Linked DNA regions of Ovis aries. The protein of the gene in region 2 binds, or shares a complex with, the protein of the main gene of each other region. Links are inferred from orthologs where the notes say so. Each region holds a gene or a part of one and is shown on either strand. Other genes may lie near its edges.

Region 1 (5,112 bases), on a different chromosome or scaffold from region 2:
CTGATCCTTGGTCCACTTGGCAAATGGCATATCCAAGTCACTAAGGGAAAATGAACAATCATATGAAAACAATTCAAAGCCAATCCTGTAACTTATCATGAAGGTGGAACAACTGTATGTTTAATAGATACAGAGATTCCCATCTGACTATGAAAAGTCTAATTTTTAGGATGTATTTGGTGAAGGAAATGATACTTCCTCACAAGGGAGATGAACGCTCCCTTGTGTCAAACAAAGCCACAAAAGATTCAACATGACTTAAGAAGACCTTGTTCTATGGAAGAAGACTGAGTTAAACGCACAGATCAAGGTATTATACTAGTACCAACCAATGTTGTTTAGAGGTTGAATCTTCAGAGAACACTAGATCAGACTGAAGGAAACTCAAGTCTAACTTGAATTAACTTTAGTAGAACTACAATTTCTCTCCACATGGTATTCAATGAAAAGAGGGCAATATGCCATTCCTGAGTGTGAGATAGTGCAATCAAAGTAAATTTTTGCTTTCTTTTGCTATTTTTAAATTAATTTTTAACCTGGAATCTAGTTGGTTTATAATATTGTATTAACTTCTTATGCTATTTTTACAAATGGCATTCTTGTTTGGAAAAAAAACAGTGTGGCAACAAATAAGAAAATTTCTTTTTAAAGCAGCACAAAGAGTTCCTCTACTGTGTACAAGAGAACATATGGCAAACGAGACTGCTCCATGTTTGAAGAAGGCCAAAGAGTTTCCTCCTTGACGAAACCGGTGCCCAGTGTTCTGTCTGGTGGGAGGGACCATGTGTGAAAGGTTTCCAGCCTATTTTCTTTTTTAAGATTTAGTATCAATGACTTGTGCTATATGTTTGCCAACCACACCCTTTGATGTTTAGCAAGTCTGTGGAGCAGTTCCAAACCAGCCCTAAACTGGGATAAAGGTGTAGGAAAAGTTCTTAGAGTCTTAACAGTACACAGTCCTGATAAACTGAATTCCAAAACCATGTATGTCTTTTAAGTGCTTTCACATTATATATTAACTGTTAATGTTTGGTGGTTTAGTTGCTAAATTGTTCCCGACTCTTGCAATCCCATGGACTGTAGCCTGCCAGGCTCCTCTATCCATGGAATTCCCCAGGTAAGAATATTGGAGTGGGTTGTCATTTCCTTCTCCACGGGATCTTCCTGACCCAGGGATCAAACCCAGGTCTCCTGTGCTGCAGGTGGTCCCCTGCACTGCAGGCAGATTCTTTACCGACTAAGCCACCAGGGAAGCCCTGTTAATGTACACTGAACAGTTATTTTTTTGCCAGATACTTAAAGCGTATCAACTCATTCAATCATCACAATCATCTTTTGGGGGTAAGTACTAATTCATATTATGGGAAACAGAGGCAGAGAGCATGAAAGTAATAGGTTAAGGTCACTCAGCTTACAAGAAGTGGTGAAGTCAGAAATCAGGTCCAAGCAGTCTATCTCTAGAACCTATTCTCTCTTTTTCCCCCTTAATTATAGTTGAGTTACAATGCTGTGTTAGTTTCTAGTGTGAAGTTAAGTAATTTAGATATATAAATATATATATATTCTTTTTCATATTCATTTCCATTACAGTTTATTATAGGCTTTTGAACATGGTTCCCTGTGCTATACCGTATGACCTTGTTGTTTATCTATCATATATATACTAGTTTGCATCCGCTAATCCTAAACTTCCACTCCATCCCTCCCCCATCTCCTCTTCCCCTTGGCAACCACAAGTCTGTAGAACCTATTCTTAACCACTACACTTTCCCATCTTTCCAGAGCTATGCTTTAGAGTTCCTATAATTACTTTTTATGTAAAATTTAAATCCAAGAGCCATTCTAGTACAGATGTTGCTGACATTTCAGCTCAGGTTACTCACCTAGCTCACAGAGCCCTCATCTTCTGTATAGTTCCTCATTAACCACAGCCAAACAGCACTAGTCTAAGGATGACAGAAGCTTCCGTAGGTGCAGCAGTAAGCAATGGATTCAGCTGTCTAACCCAGGGTCAATAATAACACTGCAGATGCTCACAAGACCTTGATGCTTGGGAGGTGATGCAAATGTCCATTCATGTGGCTGCTCCTACCTGTTAGACTGTCCCAAATCACGAGACCACCCCAATCGGGGCCCCGCAGTTGCCCTTGTCCCTCCTCTTTTGAATTCAGACTCAGACATGTCATCTGGGTTGAATGTAGTGGACTGACTTCTCCTAAGTCTGTAAAGAAGACACAGCACATTAGACCTGAAGATGTCTTTGACTTTAATTTGAACATTTTAAACTGATGCTTATGTATGTATGGTTAGAAAAGACATTTGGATTTAAACTTTGAGACTCAAAGAGTTAATGAATCCCATCACAATCTTCCCTCTGTAAAAGGATCACAAAAGCCCTAAAATGTTGTAACCATTTTTAGCCAGTTTGCCAATCATCCCTACATTTGAGCCACATATAAGACAAAGCTCTGTTACTTACTTTCCGAAGAGTCTCATAATACCCCGGGATTTTTTTTTGGAATCTGGAGATGGTGGAGACATCTGGAAGGCACTACTTCCCTGTGAATTTTTCGGCCGAGAAGATACACCAGCCAGATCTAGGTGCTCCGGTGTCTCCTTCTCTGTTTCAGCTATTCCAAGAACAGAATATACACTTGATGAATTTTAAAACATGGGTGAACATGCCTAGGTGTTAACCGCCGTGGTTTAAGCAACTATTAAGAATTCTTCTTCTGTTGATCTATAAACCAGTGACTTAGAAAGAGCACCCTGCAAATATTAAAAATGGAACACAAATCTACATCCTACTCTACCATCTACTTCATTGTGTATCAAGTTTATTAACTTGGAAATTATATCTCCTTTGAGATCAAAGGTAAAATAGCATTATCATACTCTTTCCTTAACTGATTTGAATCCATAATGAAATCATTCTCGAAATTGCTGCAGTGCTTGGTACTGTTGACTACTTCCTACAAAGCCATCATCTCCTTTAGCTTCCTGACATAACAAGCTCCTAGATCTGCCATCTGAAAATTTCTTTGCTGTAGCGCTGTTTTCTCTTCCTCTTTCACTCCAAGATTCTCTCCTGGGTTCCTTCTGCAGGATCTTTTAACAGACTCACTCACTCTATGCTCAGCACGAAATGATGGCTTTGCTCATTTCATGAACAAAGCAACTGGTATCAGAATCTCTGAGCCTAAAAATCTCTCTCCCCAGCTACATTCAGTATCTGAATGTCAGTGGATATTCCCAATTTGATGTGCCAAGAGTACCTGGGACTTAACAAATCCATCCAATTTTCCTGAGAGTCTTCTTTTACATTTTCTTATTTCATATTTCATTAATACCAGGTAATTTTCTCCCTGTTACTCCAGTCTAACCTGTTTGTCATTTTCTTTTCATTCCCTTCTCCCCTTTGGCATTTACATCGAGTTGGTTACCAAGTTCTGGGAATTCTTTATTTAAGAAATTTATTCTTAATTATAACCTGTTATGTTCCAGGAACTAAGAAAAGAATGAACTGGATAGTCATAAATTTTTCTTAATGAAATTATTTTTCTTTTGATAGGAAACTAGTGCCTGTTGATTTTGCTTTAAAAGAGTAACACCCAAATCTGTTATCCTCAGACTTCCCAGCATCAACTCTCCTCATTTGTTTAGCTGTTGATCTCACACTAGCAAACACAAGGATGCTGATTCCTCGATGTGAGAACACGCACTTTTACAGAGCAAAGTAAAAGTTGTACAAAAATCACAGGGACAGTGTTTCAGCAAGATCTAAAAGTTGCAGAGGCTGACTTGTCTATGAAGCAGAGCTGTGATTACAGGTTATGGTAAGCAGCATTGACTGGCCTCTCAGTATCAACAATACGTTTCTCCTAAGAAAGATGCAAACACATTTGAGAACAGTTGTCTGGATAGATCATTTTCATTCATCCTGTGTATATGCTGGACATTTAAGGCAATGAAGAGAGAGAAGTCACTTTTGTTGACCCATATTAACATGTGGATACCTATACAAGGTAATAGGACCCACTGGGAAAATCAAAGGAATCTATCCATTCAAACCCTACAGCCACGATAAGAGGTACTGGGGTCTCTGAAAATGCTGCCCAGCTCTCCCTCATTTTAAAAGCATCCTGTTTTTATTTATTTTGAGGATAACCTCCCTACCACTGTATTCTTTAAAAAGGAAAACTGAGCTTTCCCTCTCCTAAAATCGCTTTGGGGGTAATTCCTCAGATATTGCTATAACTAAATGTCACCTCCATCTTCAAAGTAATATGTCAGAAGGATGTTCCTCTAAGAAAAGTAAGTCTAAAATGATCGTTTTCAGTGTTTCCCACAGACCTGTTCAGCTAAAAACATTTCTTCCTGGAGTCTGGGGAAATGTTACCATCAAGGAGGAACTGCAAGGCCCTGGGAGTTAGTGTGATATGATGTACTTTGGGGTGAAGGAGCTGGATTTATGACGCCAGGATATTCCTGCCCTGCACTTTGCCGGCTGCTGGGCACATCTAGGTCTTCACAGAGCTGCTTGCAAGGTGCCATTAGCATGGGTTACAGCAGCATTTAGGCTTAGAAGCGGAGGCTCTACAGAGAGTCCTGGTGAGCGGAAGGTGGAAGGAAACCTCTGGAGTAGAGGACTCCATTTTTTGATGCTGCCAGCTCGCTGTCTAGTGATCAGGATGCCAAGAGCAGGGATTAGCTTGGTTGGGAGCACAGCGCTGGCAAAGGCAGGCATGCAGGGGTACGGTACCTAAGGTGGGTGCACTGGCACTTCGTTTACGATCTTCAGAAATCCCAACAACGCACACAATCACACGCAGCCCAATGGAGAAAACACAGGGGAATGACAAAATGAAACACAGATCAAACTCCTACTCACAAAATACACACAGTGAGAGGGGAGCCACACTGCGCTTCCGATGCTACACACAGACTCCATTAGCAGTGTCAATACGGGGTGAATTTCAGAGTAGATGGGAAGCTGCTTGTAATGATGTCAGAGAGAGCCACGGGCTTTGGTTTTTCCTCTAAGTTTACACCCAGAACAGGGAGCAGAGTGAGAGAATTCACACCAAGCTATCTTTACCTCTGAATTAAGCC
Region 2 (5,112 bases):
TGGAAAAACGGCTGCAGGAAGAAACTAGCCAGAGGCAGAAGTTAATTGAAAAGGAAGTGAAGATAAGGGAGAAACAAAGGGCCCAGGTGGGTCGGTCAATCTGGATGGGCTGGAGTAGGCTGCCCCCTGGTGGTCATTTTTTAGAAGACGGTCGTGCTGTGTCTGAGGATGCCTGTGGCTGTGCTGCCCATTAGCTTTTGGCTTCTAATGGCCAAGAGAAAGATGTTATTAGGCCAAAAAAAAGTGTGTTTATTTCAGAATTCATTGGGGACAACTAACAAAATAACATTTTTCTTTAGTTAAGCGTGGAACATTTTCATGGGAACCCATTTTTTGGAGTATATTTAAAAAGAATTTTTTTTTTGAGCGACTTTGAAAGTTCAGCTAGATTCGTTTCTAGAAACAAATACAACACCCAAACTGAGTTGAGAAAAAGAGATTCTGTCATCTTTTGGAAGCAGACACTCCAGTACAGAATAACGAGCCCAGTTCCTTGCTGGTGGAATTAATATTTATGGTGGAATTCATTTTAAATTAATTTTAATGGTGGAATTTAATCAATAATTAATATTTTGAATTGTTTTCCTAACCACACTGTGTTATCACAGTGCTGCCAGTCCACACACATGGGCACAGGATTGCTAAACTCAGGAGAACCACCCACTTTGTTTAACTTCCTGTCTCAGTCATCGTGGAGTTTGGTCTTGTCACTAGAACTGCTTACATAATGTATGTTTCCGGAGAAACTAAAGTAAAATTTTAAGTACCATGTAATTTAAAGGTCAAGTCAGCTTTACCAAGGCTTACTAGATTTAAAGATAAAAGGTACCAGTTCCTTCCCTTATTCCTTCCAGTTGCTGGCAGTTTGAAGTTCAGCAGTGAGAGACTTGCCTTAATCTGTGGCACCTGTCTAGAGTCAGAGTACCACAGAATCAAAGGCAAAATAAAGGGAAAATCCAAGGAAAGCGTGTTCGTTTTATCTCCTTATGCCAAACCTCTGGCACATTTCGGTTTGCTGGAAAGGTCATCCATGACTATTTGGTATCTGAAGCCAAACCAAAGGCACAATTCTATTTTAATCTCAAAGATTAGTTTTGTTTCCAAGTATATGATTAGGTTATGTTCCCCCAGGACAAAGGGTGGGGTAGTCTAACGGCATAAAATATGAGACCGGTTTAGAAATGTTACTCGTGGTGACATGCTCGACCTAGTCTAGATGAACCTCTGCTCCAGCTGGTGACATGCGCGACCTAGTCTAGATGAACCTCTGCTCCAGCTATTGCTATTGCTACTGCTAAGTCACTTCAGTCGTGTCTGACTCTGTGCGACCCCATAGACGGCAGCCCACCAGGCTCCCCCGTCCCTGGGCTTCTCCAGGCTAGAACACCGGAGTGGGTTGCCATTTCCTTCTCCAGTGCATGAAAGTGAGAAGTGAAAGGGAAGTTGCTCAGTCGTGTCCAGCTGTAGTAAACTTAAAGACATCAATGACAGACTTCTCTGCCTGGTCCCGGACTACTCATTGGGTACAGCTTTCATTCCACATTCTTATCTTATTTTAACTTTGCCTTTCAGAACACCTCTGCCTTCAGTTTCTATCAGAGAGTACACGAAAATCAGCATGTACATACATATATGCTTGGGGCATCTGGTGGGGGCTGTACTTACTAAATGACGTTCAGTCAGTTACATCATGCCTGAGGTTATATAAGGAGAACTGTTGTTGAGGTTGTGGCAGGGAGAACTCCTGGGAACATTACAGTGGAGGAGCCCTCCTCTGAAAGAAGCAGCCGAGAGAACTTCATGCCCTATTTCCTTATGTTTTTGTCTTGTTATCTGCCGTGCCAAGCGGCATATGGGATCTTAGTTCCCCGACCTGGCATCAAAGCCATGCCCCCTGTGCTGGAAGTATGGAGTCTTAACCACTGGACCGCCAGGGAAATCCCTTCCCAGTTTTAAGTGCTGAATACCTCTTTTAAAACTAAGGTAAATGACATGTTTCCATTTTTTCATCTGGCCTTTTCAAGGAATAGAATCTGTTGGCCTGAATTTATTCGCATCCCCCCCTCCCCATACCATCACATTTTTCTTTAAATGCCATCCACTTTTTCGATTCCAAATGACAGTGTTTAAGTTCTCATAATTGCATGGACGTTTGAACACTTAGGCTTTTCAGTTCATAAACATCTGTGACCTAAAACCAAACAAAGAGCTATAGATTAGATGGGCTTGTGCATTTCCAGGCTCGACCTCTGACCCGCTATCTGCCTGTGCGGAAGGAAGACTTTGATTTGCGGAGCCACGTAGAGACTGCTGGCCACAATATCGATACGTGTTATCATGTGTCAATCACAGAGAAGACCTGCAGAGGATTCCTCATCAAAATGGGTGGAAAAATTAAAACCTGGAAAAAACGTTGGTTTGTTTTTGATCGGAACAAGCGCACCTTCTCTTACTATGCAGGTAGGTCATAAAAAAATCCAAGTGATATTCAAATCAGGAATTTTCTGTTAAAGAACAAAAGCAATAAAATTCAGAATAAATAAGTAAAATGAAAAGTAATAGATTAATGGCAATATTAGCTTGATAGATGTATTCAGATCATATGGTCCAATATTTATGAATTTCCTCTAGAAATAATAAAAATTACATTTTAAAAAAGTGTGAGTCAGTTTTGTTCTGGTTCTGAAATAAACTCAAACCCAAATAAATATTAAATGGAATTTACTTTTTAGACCAAAATACTATCTTTTAAACCATGAGATCAGAAAAGGTTTCTATTTATTTATTTATGGTCATATGCCCTATTTAAGTCACACACAATTAGATAGCTTAGCTGACAGCCATTCAGCTCTAGTTCATGGTAATTTCAGCAGTGAAAAGCTCCTTGGTGAACTATTGAATAAGTTAAGTATTTACTGGGAAAATTTCCAGTAAATACTGGAATATTTTTGGATTCTTTAAATGATAGATTATGAGACTCGTACCCTACTGAATCCTCTATGAGTACAGGAATATTTGTGTAACCAGTGTACTTATTAAGAAGCTATTAAGAAGCCCCTTATTTACACATGGATTTCATATGAAATATGTCCATTAGCTGCACAAGTATAGCTGTGCTCTCTTTTCAGCTGCTGAATAAGAGTAGTGTCAGACTAGAGGTTATGAAGACACCCTGCCTTGGGGTGATAGTTCCAGCATTTATGAGCATTGTTGGGAATTGTTACAAAGTGTAGCAAGTAATAAATTTAAAAAAATAGTCCAGTCATTTAATCTGTAGGGTGTGGTCAGGTATGTTTATAAAGAAAGGTGTCAGAAACCAAGAAGCTTGGGGAAGAAAGGAGCCTCTGTCTATGGAGACCCAGAATCCCAGAGTGAAGGGTGGCAGGGTACATGCCTTTAAGCAGGGGGCACCAGAGTGAAGGGTGGGCAGGGTACATGCCTTTAAGCGGGGGCTCTTTGGGTGGGGCTCCAGTTTCTACAGTGGAGAGCAAATGGCCTAACTCTCACTGGTTACCTCTTTTGGGCTTTCTGACTTTGGGTTTTATAAGAATCCAAAGACAAGATCTTCAGTTAATACAATAGAAGAGATGTCTATGTGATAAGAAATGCCAATTCAGTGTCTGCAAAATGCATAAAGAAATTTTGCTATGTGCTAGTCTCCACTGACAACCTTAGCCAGAATTTTAAAATAATTCAAATAAAACAGCTTTGCTCATCTCTGCTCCTTTTTTTAGGAGCCTTATTTCATTCTTTCTTTAGTCTGACAGGTGAGAGGTTCATTGCTTGTTTCTGGCCCATATAAATGTGTTTTTCAAATTTAAACTTCTTAGTGACCAGTTTTCAATTTTTTTTTAAATACCAAAATCTTTTGGTATATGAACGATTACTCAGAACGCTAATACCTAAAACAGACAAAAGTTATATTTAATTCAGCTTTCTAATATTTACAGATTGTATAGCTGACTGGTGAGACCTAGTTTGTCGAACGAAACGCTGCCCATTTGGCTCTGTTTGCAGCCATCATCAGCTTTCCTGCTCCCGCCCTCCCCACCCCGACTCTTTCCCAGATGCCACCAAGCACAGGAATGCATCAGCCAGCAGGCTTGTCCTGCAGATGTAGTTCATGCTGGACTCGATCCCATAGGTGCCACGAGATCAAATCCCATGTCAGCAAGCTAGTCAGCCTGGTAAATGAACACGGCATGTGTGCAGGGCCTAAGCCAAACTCATAGGTCTCCCTGTGGAGCAGGCCCCTGTGCTTGGCCTCCCACATAGTAACTGAGCAACTTTAGAAGAGTCTCTAAACAAACCTAAGGCACAGAAAATATGTCTGTAAATTGCTAGGATAATGCTATTGAGAAGGAATACTAGAATTATCTCATCAATTTACAAGAGCCTTGTATTTTCCATTTTTTCTGACTCGCCCTACAAACAAAAGTTTTCTTCCCCCAGTTTTCTGCCTGCTTTGAAACACTGACAAGGTTTACTTTTATCTTCAGATTTTATTTTATACCCATTTCCAGAAAACAGAGTATTATTGTTTTCCAGTGAATGAATTATTGCAGGATCTTTTCCACCAAATGTTTGAGAAACACACTCACCTTTTCTTTCACAGAAACGGATGGAAACCCACTGAACATGGTATTAATTAAAGTGTTTCCCTAGGAAGAGCAAAAATAAACACAAAAATATGGTCTATGCTCAAATAAGTTTAAAAAATGCAGAGTTAAATGCAATTATATAGGTTTATTTTCTGCTGAACTTCTCAGGGCTGATATTTTTCAAATTTGCTTTTTACTGTTGTTAAGGGTATGGGGGAGGAGGGGGCAAGGACTCTCATTTTAGTAAAAACTTCAAAATGCAACTAAGTCTAAATAATTGAAGTAAGTCTCTGTCCCATGACAGAAGTTCTGACCTTTTCTAACACTGTTAAGCATGAAATATCCTTTCAGATTTTCTCCATGCCTTTTCATATATGGTTCAATGTACATAGGTATTGTTTCTTCTTTAATCCATTTAGGACCAAATTATTCACCCTGTTCCTACCTTTCTTCTCATAATGATATTTCAAGGTTTTTCTCTTGAGCACATGCGTATTTACCTTGCTCTTTT
Region 3 (5,112 bases), on a different chromosome or scaffold from region 2:
CTTCTTTTCTACATAATAAACCCCCACAGCAAACAGAAAGTATACTAAACCACCCTGTTACTGCAAGAATTCCAGGACAGAAGGTATCCGGCAGGAAGTCAGGACCTCTGTCTGCTACACCATACAGGCAGGCTCGACCCAGAACAGGGAGGGACCTTCAATAGATCCAATGGGGAGCTCTGAGGCTCGTTTCCTCGGGTAGAAGTTGGAAAAATCTCATGCAATTTCCTCAAAATTAAAGTGAGAATATTAACGAGTGGAAAGAGAATTGAAAGTTTAACACAACTGGGCGCGGCCTTCTCAAGCCTAGTTCTTCTAAAGCAGCTACGCCACATGTATGAAGTGCTCAAACCAGGGCCAGAACTTGCTGGTGGTGCGACTCCTGTCCGCCGGCTCAAAACCCATTTCAGGTCCCTCCCTGGTCACTAGTAACCAACGTGGGGAAAGTCCTAACATTAAAAGTGAAAGGTCTTAAAACACCTTTTCCAGAATTCTCTACGTATTAAACTCTGACACCTAATCTCCTCCTACTGCCAAAGAGTAGTGTGAACAGGTTGTATAAACGTGTGCAAATATTTCTGCTTTGAGTTCTCACCCAGAATTACTCACACCAAGCTACTAAACAAGTACCCCTGCTGTACCACGTGTTGGAGGGGTTCCCTGAGACGGTCTCACGGCGGGTGGGGGGGCAGCGTGGGCGCTGTCTGTCTGCGCACAGAGGAGAGGCGAGGCTCACAGGAGGAGGCCTGAGCCAGCACTCTCTTGCGTTCACAGTGACCGCTAGGGAGCTTGTCACAACTCACGACACCCGCAGACGTGACTGCCAGAATCATCACGATTCCACATGGTCACGCAGCTCGGGCCTGAGGGTCTGAGGGGGAGGAGGGACACATACTCACTACGGATCCACGCGTAAGATCGCCAGTGAGTAACACATACTCACTACGGATCCACGCGTAAGATCGCCAGTGAGTAACACTCACTATGGATCCATGCGTAAGATCGCCAGTGAGTGACACATCTCAGTACGGATCCACGCGTAAGATCGCCAGTGAGTGACACATCTCACTACGGATCCACGCGTAAGATTGCCAGTGAGTGACACATCTCAGTACGGATCCACGCGTAAGATCGCCAGTGAGGGACACATCTCACTACGGATCCACGCGTAAGATTGCCAGTGAGTGACACATCTCAGTACGGATCCACGCGTAAGATCGCCAGTGAGGGACACATCTCACTACGGATCCACGCGTAACATCGCCCTACTGCACCGCGCAGGGACCGCTGCTCCGTGCTCCGTGGTGAAGTGAATGGGCAGGAAATCCAGGAAAAGAGGGATAGGACTCACCCTGCTGTACAGCAGAAACCGACACAGCAGTGCAAAGCAGCTATACGCCAATAACTGAATGGATGGATGCATGAATTTCCAGAAAGGAACACACGGGCCGCCCAGAACTTGTAGGAATGCGGAGTCCACACCCAGGGTGCAGCACAGTGCCAGGGCCACCCTCGTGTCGGTCCACTGCCAACGGACCGCCCGGGCCCCAGAGCCTGCGACACAGAGGCAGGGAGGCCACCAGCCACGGTCACGCCGGTGCCCTGCTCTTGCTCATGCAGCCACCCCTAGGCTGAGGTCCCCAGGAGAACAAGGGACCCACAGTCCACCGCAGGACAACGGACGCGGCCGCCGTCACTCACTTCGCGGACGTCCCGCTGCAGTTTCGTGTTCACTTCCTCGGACTTGATGAGGTCCTTCCGGGCCGTGTCCAGGTCCTCCTCCAGCTCCGTCACGTGGGCAGAGAGGGCTGCCAGGCGCTCCTTCATCTGGCTCTGCTCCCGCGACTGCTTGTCGATGACTTCCTGGAGCTCCATCACTTTGGCCAGGTCTTCCTCGTGGCTCAGAGAGCCGTCGGAGGATCTCTAAGGGGGGAAGGAAGCCTTAGGTGGCCCTGTTTCGGGAGGGAGGGGACACAGCACTCCGGGCAATCGGTGAGGTCCACACTGCGTTCTGCGCTCTGGGAGCTCACCGGACCCTCACGGCCGCTCCAACCTACATGGCGTGTTGGTGAGAGGTTCCCAAAAGCCCCGCACAGACTGGACAGTAAGACGAGAACCAGGCAGAGTGCGAGACGGAGGACTTGCCTTTCCATTGGCGCTCGGCGTGCTTTCCTGCTCGTGATTTACATCAAGCACCCCGTCCGTTAGTACCTTTTTCTGGTTATTCTGCTCTTTAAGAATCATCAGCTGAAACCAAAAAATCGCAGGAGAGTAAAGAAGTAAGTGAACACAGCAACAACTCTGAACGGAACACACAACATAAAAGAAAATGCATGGTGATGCTGTCCACCCTGAATAGAGCCAGGTGATCAGAGTCAGAATCTGTCTTCTCCTGGACAAAGGGGCGCTGGAGAGATCCTGCAGCTCTGAGCCACAAGGCTAGTTTACTGGTCATTAAAATGCCCCAGGTGGGCAGGTCCTCAACCAGAAAGACAAATAACACCCGATGCCCACCGCGACAGCCTTCATCCTTTTTCATAACGAAGGGATAAAAATGACAAGCCCTAGCCGAATTACATGACGGCGGATCGAGCTTACCTCTTTGTGTGTGGCGCCCAGCTCTTCTTCCAACAAGCTACACCTCTCGAGCGCTACCCGCAACCGCTCTCTCACCTGAGAGGAAAGGGGCCGAGTCACTGTGTGCTGACGTGTGTTTGCACGTTAGTACACGTCTCACTGTACACTCACCCTCATACACGGCTACCGTAACAGAGCACCTTTAATGTCTCTCATTGATCTTAATGTCAAGAAACTCTGCTTGTTAACAGCTTTCAATTCTAAGTTTGAGAGAACAAAATGTTATCCTAAATTAATTTTATTACCCAGTTTTTAACTGCAAATTGATATACAGAATTTAATAAATCTTGAAATATTTATGCCAACTAATACTTTTTAACTGGGGGCTTCCCAGGGGGCTCAGTGGTAAAGAATCCGCCTGTCAATACAAGAGGGCAGGTTCAATCCCTGGGTCAGGAAGGTCCCCGGAGTAGAAGGTGGGCCCCCACTGCAGTGTTCTTGCCTGGGAAGCCCCATGAAGAGAGGAGCGTGGTGGGCTACAGTCCACAGGGTCGGAAAGACTCGGACATGACAGCATGCACACAGGCAGCGCTTCTTAACTATATTTGAAACTCTGACTTCTTACAGAAAAAACGTATTTACAAGAATACAAGACGCTCAAAAGTCAACTAGTTACACAAACACGTGCGTCGTCCACCTAACAAGGCAGCAAGTGTACAAATCCAGGAGGGCCGGGTGGCTGGTACCTTCTCGTCCAGGGCCTTGTGGTGCTCGAACAGCGACTTCAGCGCCTTGAGCACCTCCACCTCGCTGGACACGCCAGCTGGGGACTGTGCCTGCCGCTTGACCACCGTCATCCGCAGGGACCGCTCGTGCCGTGAGACCAGGCACTCCAGGTGCTCCAGCAGCAGCTGCAGGGAGAGGCCAGAGCAGCACCGTCAGCCTCAGGCTGGGATTCGGGGCAGTGGCTCCTCTCAGCCTCACGCTAAGACCAAAACTGTGCTAAGGCACGTCGGAATCCCGCCAGTTCAGTCTAAAGTTAGACTGGACCTCCCTGGTGGCCCAGTAGTTAAGACTCCACACTTCTGCAGGGGTCGTGGGTTTAATCCCCAGTCGGGGAATCAAGATCCCACACACAGTGAAGCATGGGCAAGAATGTAAGTTGAGAGAACCCCTCCAATGTACTGAGATTACATTAGCTCATCACAGACTTGAAGGGAGGCATGAGAACCCCAAACCGACCCACCCTGGTCTGCTCAGTGGGAAAATGTGGAAAATGGGTTGAAAACCAGACAGAGTTTAAAGACAGCAGCACGGAGCCCGGCGCTGACCCCCGCGGGGCGAATGTCAGCACGTGAGAATCCCCCTACTGACCCTGGTGTTGTTCCTTTCCGCTTTCAGCTCAGCGATTTCTTCTTCTCTTTCAAGAAGCTGCTCCCTGCACACATTCAGTTCTTTAGTAAGTGCTGCAAACTCCTAGAAAACAGTTAAATGAGTGAGTAACTAAGTGTAAACACAAATTTAGAAAGAGAGTGAGACTCTGAAGACTGACACGGTCAAGCTTCTCCAGGCTCCACACAAAGGATCTCCCTGCCCCTCCAGAGAAGAGGAGGTCCGCTGACCCCAAGACCACACAGACCACCACTACTCAGGCCAGCCTTCAGCCTCCACCTTGACCTGGCAGGCCCGTGCCAGGGGAGAACCCGGAATCCAAGCCCGCCTTCTCCAGACCCAGGGAAGTCTGAGATACTTTCCTAAACATAAATCCTAACAACAAAGTGGATGAAGAGATTCTTAAACAACACACAGACAAGTGACCTAGAAACACCGGGGAGAGTAAAGAAAAAAGGTAAGGTCTACAAGGCCACCAGGCTTTGGCGTGTTCCTCTGGGAAAAAGGCTGAAGGCACCCCAAGGCCATCTCTTAGCCTGACTCCACTGAAGTCACCCAGTCATTCAATAAACTGGTTAATATGTTAAATTCATGTTACATGTATTTTATCACAACTTATGCACGTGCGCAGGCGCGCACACACGCAGAACTCTTTGGAGACAAGGTGGCTTCTAAGAGCATCGATCAGCTACAGAACAAGAACAGCCCTTCACGTCAGGATTTCAGCACCGACTGGCAAACACAAAGCTCCAGTCCCGCTGGGGAGAAGCAATCCAGCGTGTCCTCACACCGGACAGACTGCCCACAGGGCATGGGCACTGGGCATCATGGCTGGGAAGCGGGCAGGGAGGGGGGCCACAGGGACTAGGTCTCCTCTCCACGGCCCCCCAGGAGCGAGGGAAGGAGGCAGGCGCTGATCTCCAAGGGGGGGATGTCTACAGGAAGAGCAGGCTTTGGAGGGAGCGCTAACTGGTCAGTTTCAGATAAGGTTAATCTGAGACGTACTCGGGCCTTCAAGCGGCCGTGTCCAGTCCAGAGCCTCCCAGTCTGGAGTCCTAGGGGACACAGGCCAAGATGAGACAGAGCAGCAAGGCGCTGAGTGTGGGCGAGAAAAGCCGAGGTTTGAGCCCAGCGAGGAGTCAC
Region 4 (5,824 bases), on a different chromosome or scaffold from region 2:
TTTACCATCATTCCTTCCAAACACCCAGGGCTGATCTCCTTCAGATTGGACTAGATGGATCTCCTTGCAGTCCAAGGGACTCTCAAGAGTCTTCTCCAACACCACAGTTCAAAAGCATCAATTCTTTGGCGCTCAGCCTTCTTCACAGTCCAACTCTCACACCCATACATGACCACAGGAAAAACCATAGCCTTGACTAGACGGACCTTAGTCGGCAAAGTAATGTCTCTGCTTTTGAATATGCTATCTAGGTTGGTCATAACTTTGAATTTACAATTTTGGCAATTTCTAATTTAAGATTTACTTTTTGTTCCTAGAGTGTTAACTTATATATTATCCTTTTTTCATAGCTGTAGTAAGTTGGGAGCATACTCTATTTTTTTAAGTTCTCTGAAGTATCTTTTTCCTCTATGGTCACATTTTCTCCTCTGTCAGCCCCAAGTTGGAGACTTCCCTTAAATACCTAACAGCCCTTGGTTATCTGTTCATATCTAAGATGAAATAGTTGGACGCTGATGACGAATCTTTAGAACTTGGGAGGGTCTTGCCAACTTCACTCTAGGGTGAGTGGGTAGGAAGCTGGCTATTGTGCCAGAATAAAGAATGCTTTACTCTTAGTCATTAAATGCTCCCCAGAGATTATAAGAACTTGACTTTTAGCCTGGGATAAATGCCTAGCTATTGTATCTGAGGTATGGGGTGGGGAGGGCTGGGGTACTGCTGTTCTACATAGAAACCTTTATTTAGTTTCCTTGTTTTCATCCCTGCTTCTCACTCTTGGTCTGTTGTGCTGATGACTCCAAATTTCAGTTTCTTTAAATCACTTCTGGCTGCTAGGCCTCCTTCCTCAACTGCAGTACTCATTCCCTACACCTATTCCAAACTATGGTTTCTTCCATTTTGTTCAGTCAGACCACACTCACTTTCTCCGTGTAAAATTAACAACAACAAAAATTTGGTGGCTCCCTTCCCACTTTCTGTTCTGTACTGGTTTGTATCATTTTTCATTTCTTTATGAGCATTTTAACAGGGTTTTAGGAAGAGGAGGCAATTAAAGAATGTACTCAGCCAGCTTTAATTAAAAAAAAACAAAACAAAACCCTGGGACTTTGCTGGTGGTCTGAGGTGGTTAAGACTCCACGTTTCCAGTGCAGGGGGAATGGGTTCCATCCCTGGTCAGGGAACTAAGATTCCGAATGCTGTGTGAGGTGGCCAAAAGAATAAAAAAAAAAAAACTTAAATGTAGATTAAAGAAAAAAAAAAAAGATATGTAGGGCAGAGTAGGAAATAAAAAACAAGAACAGTGGAATGACAAAAAGAGAAACCAAAAAATTTTCTAAGCCTGTGATGTGGACAGTATTCCTGTGTAGGCAGAACAATGCTTAACTTAGCACCTTCCACTCTTCAAACCTACCCATTTCTGGGTTTGACGATAAACCTGAGACATCTCGTCCACACCTCACTTTACATTTAAGAAAAGCAGGACCCAGAAGTACTGGGATCTTTCCAAGGTCACACAAGTAGAGGATGGGCGAGGGGAAACCAGGTAGATAGCATGAAGTCCACTTTGCTTTCCTTCCACCTCCTCACATCGCTGGGGAGCTTACAGGACGAGCGGATCGGCAGTCAGGTGAAGACCGTGAGTCACAGGGGGTAGGCTTTTCCTGAGTAAAGAGTCTGAGAAAATCAAATACTTTAGGACGCTTCGTTTGGCAGGACCGCGCCGTCCCCCGGCAGCAGTACTGATCGTACAGAAGGGGGCGACGGTGTGGCAGGACCGAGACCGGGGGAACCCGAGGGCGGCGACGCTGGGCGGAGGGGGACGCGGTGACGAGCGAGGACCCTGAGGAGGGGCGCGAAGGTGGCGGTGGGACCACGAGGGAACTCACGCTGCTGTGACTCAACTGCTCTCAGGGTGTTTACTGATAAAACTCTCGCTGGCAGAGGCTGCAAACAACCCACATCATCACTCGTGGGGCGGCGACAGCTTACCTACAGCCTCACAGTAACGGCGCGCGCCTCAGACTAGGAAACCTGCCAGCGCTTCGGCACCACAAACTGGGGCGCCCGACGCGGGGCCGCCTGCCACCCGCGAGGACAGGGAAGGCCGCCGACGTTAACCGCGGACAGGCCGCCGGCGGGGTCTCCGGGCGGTGCGGACAGTCCGAGGGCCTCGGGGCGGGAAACTCACCTGCCCCCGGAGACCTGGGCACCGGCTGCGCGGCACCGGTCCACCGAGGCGGTAGTGGTTGCCCACTATCAGCGCCGCACCGCCTCCTACGGCAAGCGGAAGGAGACAGAGGCCGAGCGCCCCGCGCGGGGAGTGTGTGCGCGTGTGCACCCGCGCCCGCCATCCCCCAGCCCACCGGCCCCTTGGAAGGCGCCCGAGGTCCGCGCGCGGCCGAGTAGCCCTCCCAGGAGGCTGCGGGACGGCGAGCGGGCGCGGCCGGGCAGGGGCGGGGCTTGCGCTGACGTAGGCCCGGGGCGGGGCTGAGGACTCGCGCAGGGGGCGGGGCGCGGTGACGTCGGGCGCCCGGGCCGAGCTGTGGCGGCGGTGGTAGTGGCGGCGGCGGCGCCCGGGCTGGCAGCGGCATCGGCAGCCCAGAGGAGGGTGAGACGGCCGCGGTGGCGGCAGCTCGGGATCGGGCGGCGCCTGGAGCTTCCCGCCCGTCGCTGGCGCCAGGGCCCTCGGCTCTCCTGCGCCCGCTCCTCCCCACGGCCCTGGCTGGGTCCGGGCAGCGCGCCCCCGGGGAGGGCGGAGCCGTAGGTGAGGCGCGGGGACCCCTCCCCCTCCGCGCCCTGCCGGGGGGATGGGACGTCCGGGAGGGCGGCCCCACCCAGCCCACCGGCGGGTGTCCCTGGACCGGCTTGGGGGGCGGCGACGGCGGGGACCAGTGGGGGCTGCGGGCGGCCGGCTTCAGAGGCGTGATGTTGCGGGCGAGGTGGGGATGTACACGCCTCGGGGAGCCCCGGGAGGCTGGGGTGCGGTCGGGTTGGTCTGGGGTTTGGGTACCGATATGCAACGTTGAGATGAGAATTCTGGTCTCTTCTGTGAAGTAGTAAGATGGGAGATGGAGGGTTGGCTTCCAGAAGGGAGATGAGCTGTGGATGTTGCCTTTGAAGCAGTTGGAGAAGCTATTGCACTAGGTCTCACGTTTCTACTTAGGGCTTTTTTTTTCCCCCCCTCTTTTGGCGGGGTGGGGGTCGAGGAGGGAAGCGACTCCCTCAGCTTTTGGCTCAGGGTGGGGAAATTGTGGAGCGTGGACGGGTTTGGAGTTTTACACCCTTGAAGGGGAGCCGAGATCTTGGGTTAGACAACTTCATTCTGGCAGCAACATTAGGTAATAGGTCCCCTTACACTTTATTTCTAAAAGGCGTTATCTTCCAGTCTTTTATTTATTTATTTTGGTGCCTATACGATCTGTATACCTCATCTTCAAGTTTTATCCTGGCCCCTTAAGAGAAGGCCCGAGGATCAGGTGGTTCCTTTGGAAGTCACGTTTTTGAGGAGTAGCTGCAGGTGGTTGTGGTTGACTGCTTTGGATGGATAAAATGAACAATTTGCACATTCCTGTTGGCTCTAATTAAATGAAACATACTTAAATGTTTTAAAGCACGACTGTCTTTTGCAGCTCAGTTTTTAGTAGATCTTGACAGTTAGCTGTTTTGTGTTTGAGAATTATTGGAGATTTCTGAAGTTTCTCAGTTGCATGTCTTTATTAGACATTTAAAGTGGAATAAAATTTTTTGGTAGGTCCCTACATTTTTGAGAAACATTCTTAAAGTCAGGTGCTCTTGAAATGTTTTTGGGAGCATGTGTCTGTAGCTGCATAGGGAGATGCTACTAAGAGTAAAGGTTCTTCACAGCAGTGTTTCACAACTTAGCACATTAAATCAGAATCTCTTTTTCTGGATTCCTGCTCCCCATCAGATTACAGAACTCCCTGGCCTTACCTGTCAGTTAATATCATTTAAGCTATTTCTTGCTGGGAAAACAGGCCCTGAGATGGACATGTATTATGTAATAGATGGAAGTAGGCATGACTCTCAATAATTCATTTATGGAGGAAGAGAAACCGTCATGAAATGGAATTTAAGCAGTGACTTTCCCAAGGCTTATTCAATTTATTTGGGAACATAGCCAGAGAAGTGCTTTCCTGTAACCCAAGAGAGAAATATACAGGGTGAGTGTCAGTGGTTGCCTTTTTTAACATGTCTACTTAATGAGCAGACTATTATCCTCCAGCAAATACTTGTGCTTGAAGAAACTTATAGGAAACAGATGATATAATAGCTATTAAGTGAAAATAGGTGTGGTCCAGTTTGTAATTATAAACAAAAGATTTAATTAACTATTCAGACAAGTCAAACTATAAGTTGATATAATAATGGTTTTGATACCGGATTAGTCTACTTGGAAAGATTAAAATTCACATATCTGGTTTTGGCTTTCATATTATACTTTGACTTAATTGAGTATATATGGGGACAGATGTGAACTAAGATACCAGGTGAAACTGTGTATTTTGCTAAAATGATATTTCCATGGCTGACAGTGGGATGTGGTTCTCCTTACTGAAATGCAGTCATATAATTTGGGAAAAGTATAGGGTGATCTATTTCTCTTTAGGATTTCTTATGCCTGAGAAAACCGGTATGTTTTATTTTTAAGAAGTGTCATTTACTAGTCATTACTGTGATATCTTTGTTGAGTCTACTGGGATATTCCCCCCCACTTTTTTTTAAATTACTAAGGTCAGATAAGTATGTCAGTCTGTTAGGTCAACTTTAATACTGAAACGAAAAGCGAAGATTCTTAAAGCAACAACTGTTCTTTTTCTATGCTACATTTATGCTTTTAGAGACAGTATAAGAGCTATTAAATGTGTTTTGCACATACTATGACAAAAACGTTGATGGAGAAAGATGAGGGAGTGAAGTATTTTGGCTAATCAACAAACAGTGTATTGATTATGGATTTTCAAACATAAAATGTAATAAAGTAAATTAAGCATAAAGGTTATGTGTAATATAGTTTATTTCTATGACTTGCTTTTTCAAAATGTGAGCCTTTGGGGTGCTGGCTCATTCATTTATTCATTCAACAGTTATTTTTTGAGTATGGTTCTGGGTACATTTTTTAGCCTTTGGGGATATAGCAGTGAACAACACTGACTAACATTCTCACCTTCATAGAACTTACCTTCTGGATACCTTCTGGGGAAATGAAGAGGAACTCAGCAAAGGAGATTAATAAGAGGCCATTGAGGTAGAAGGAAAACCAGGAGAGTGTGATGTACTGGAAATGAAGGAAAGGAAGTTTTCAAGGAGGAGGGAATGATCAACTGTGTCATTGTTTAAAGATGTGTCAGACTGTTGGGCAGGAAAGAATTCTGCCTGATGTCTAATATCAGAGAGATGACTAAATGCTTTTTAGTGTGAGATGGGGGCAAATGGAAGAATCAGTTTTTTACTTCCTTGGATTGATTTAAAATAAATATATGTATAAATATATATATTTAAATTATATATAAATCATTTTATGATTTATATGTGGTAAATCATATAAATATATGTTTTATATTTAAAATAAAATCATATATATATTTTAAAAATATATATTTCATACTTTATTCTTTTCAGAACAAAATATACAGCCTGGGAGTTTATACTTGTACTAAGGAGAGGGCTTCCCTTGTGGTTCAGCTGGTAAAGAACCTGCCTGCAATGGGGGAGACCTGAGTTCTATCCCTGGGTTGGAAAGATCCCCTGGAGAAGGGCCAGGCTACCCACTCCAGTATTCTGGCCTGGAGAGTTTCATGGA

Evidence for each region.
Region 1: PHLDB2 (region 2) and PPFIBP1 share a complex: the UniProt entries of both Homo sapiens proteins name them as parts of the cortical microtubule stabilization complex. The link is inferred for Ovis aries from reciprocal best matches to the Homo sapiens genes PHLDB2 and PPFIBP1.
Region 3: PHLDB2 (region 2) and PPFIA1 share a complex: the UniProt entries of both Homo sapiens proteins name them as parts of the cortical microtubule stabilization complex. The link is inferred for Ovis aries from reciprocal best matches to the Homo sapiens genes PHLDB2 and PPFIA1.
Region 4: PHLDB2 (region 2) and ERC1 share a complex: the UniProt entries of both Homo sapiens proteins name them as parts of the cortical microtubule stabilization complex. The link is inferred for Ovis aries from reciprocal best matches to the Homo sapiens genes PHLDB2 and ERC1.

Annotation. Positions count from the first base shown.
Region 1 is NC_056056.1:187,728,560-187,733,671, forward strand, and holds part of PPFIBP1 (liprin-beta-1), read right to left. Parts: intron 4,796-5,112; coding exon 4,763-4,795; intron 2,631-4,762; coding exon 2,480-2,630; intron 2,222-2,479; coding exon 2,093-2,221; intron 41-2,092; coding exon 1-40. UniProt on the Homo sapiens protein: May regulate the disassembly of focal adhesions. Did not bind receptor-like tyrosine phosphatases type 2A.
Region 2 is NC_056054.1:177,683,161-177,688,272, forward strand, and holds part of PHLDB2 (pleckstrin homology-like domain family B member 2), read left to right. Parts: coding exon 1-86; intron 87-2,240; coding exon 2,241-2,460; intron 2,461-5,112. UniProt on the Homo sapiens protein: Seems to be involved in the assembly of the postsynaptic apparatus. May play a role in acetyl-choline receptor (AChR) aggregation in the postsynaptic membrane.
Region 3 is NC_056074.1:43,849,478-43,854,589, reverse strand, and holds part of PPFIA1 (liprin-alpha-1), read right to left. Parts: intron 4,054-5,112; coding exon 3,952-4,053; intron 3,489-3,951; coding exon 3,324-3,488; intron 2,674-3,323; coding exon 2,599-2,673; intron 2,248-2,598; coding exon 2,146-2,247; intron 1,924-2,145; coding exon 1,702-1,923; intron 1-1,701. UniProt on the Homo sapiens protein: May regulate the disassembly of focal adhesions. May localize receptor-like tyrosine phosphatases type 2A at specific sites on the plasma membrane, possibly regulating their interaction with the extracellular environment and their association with substrates.
Region 4 is NC_056056.1:213,611,150-213,616,973, forward strand, and holds the start of ERC1 (ELKS/Rab6-interacting/CAST family member 1), read left to right. Parts: upstream 1-2,527; 5' UTR 2,528-2,611; exon of another isoform or gene 2,612-2,767; intron 2,768-2,801; exon of another isoform or gene 2,802-2,942; intron 2,943-5,643; 5' UTR 5,644-5,824. UniProt on the Homo sapiens protein: Regulatory subunit of the IKK complex. Probably recruits IkappaBalpha/NFKBIA to the complex. May be involved in the organization of the cytomatrix at the nerve terminals active zone (CAZ) which regulates neurotransmitter release.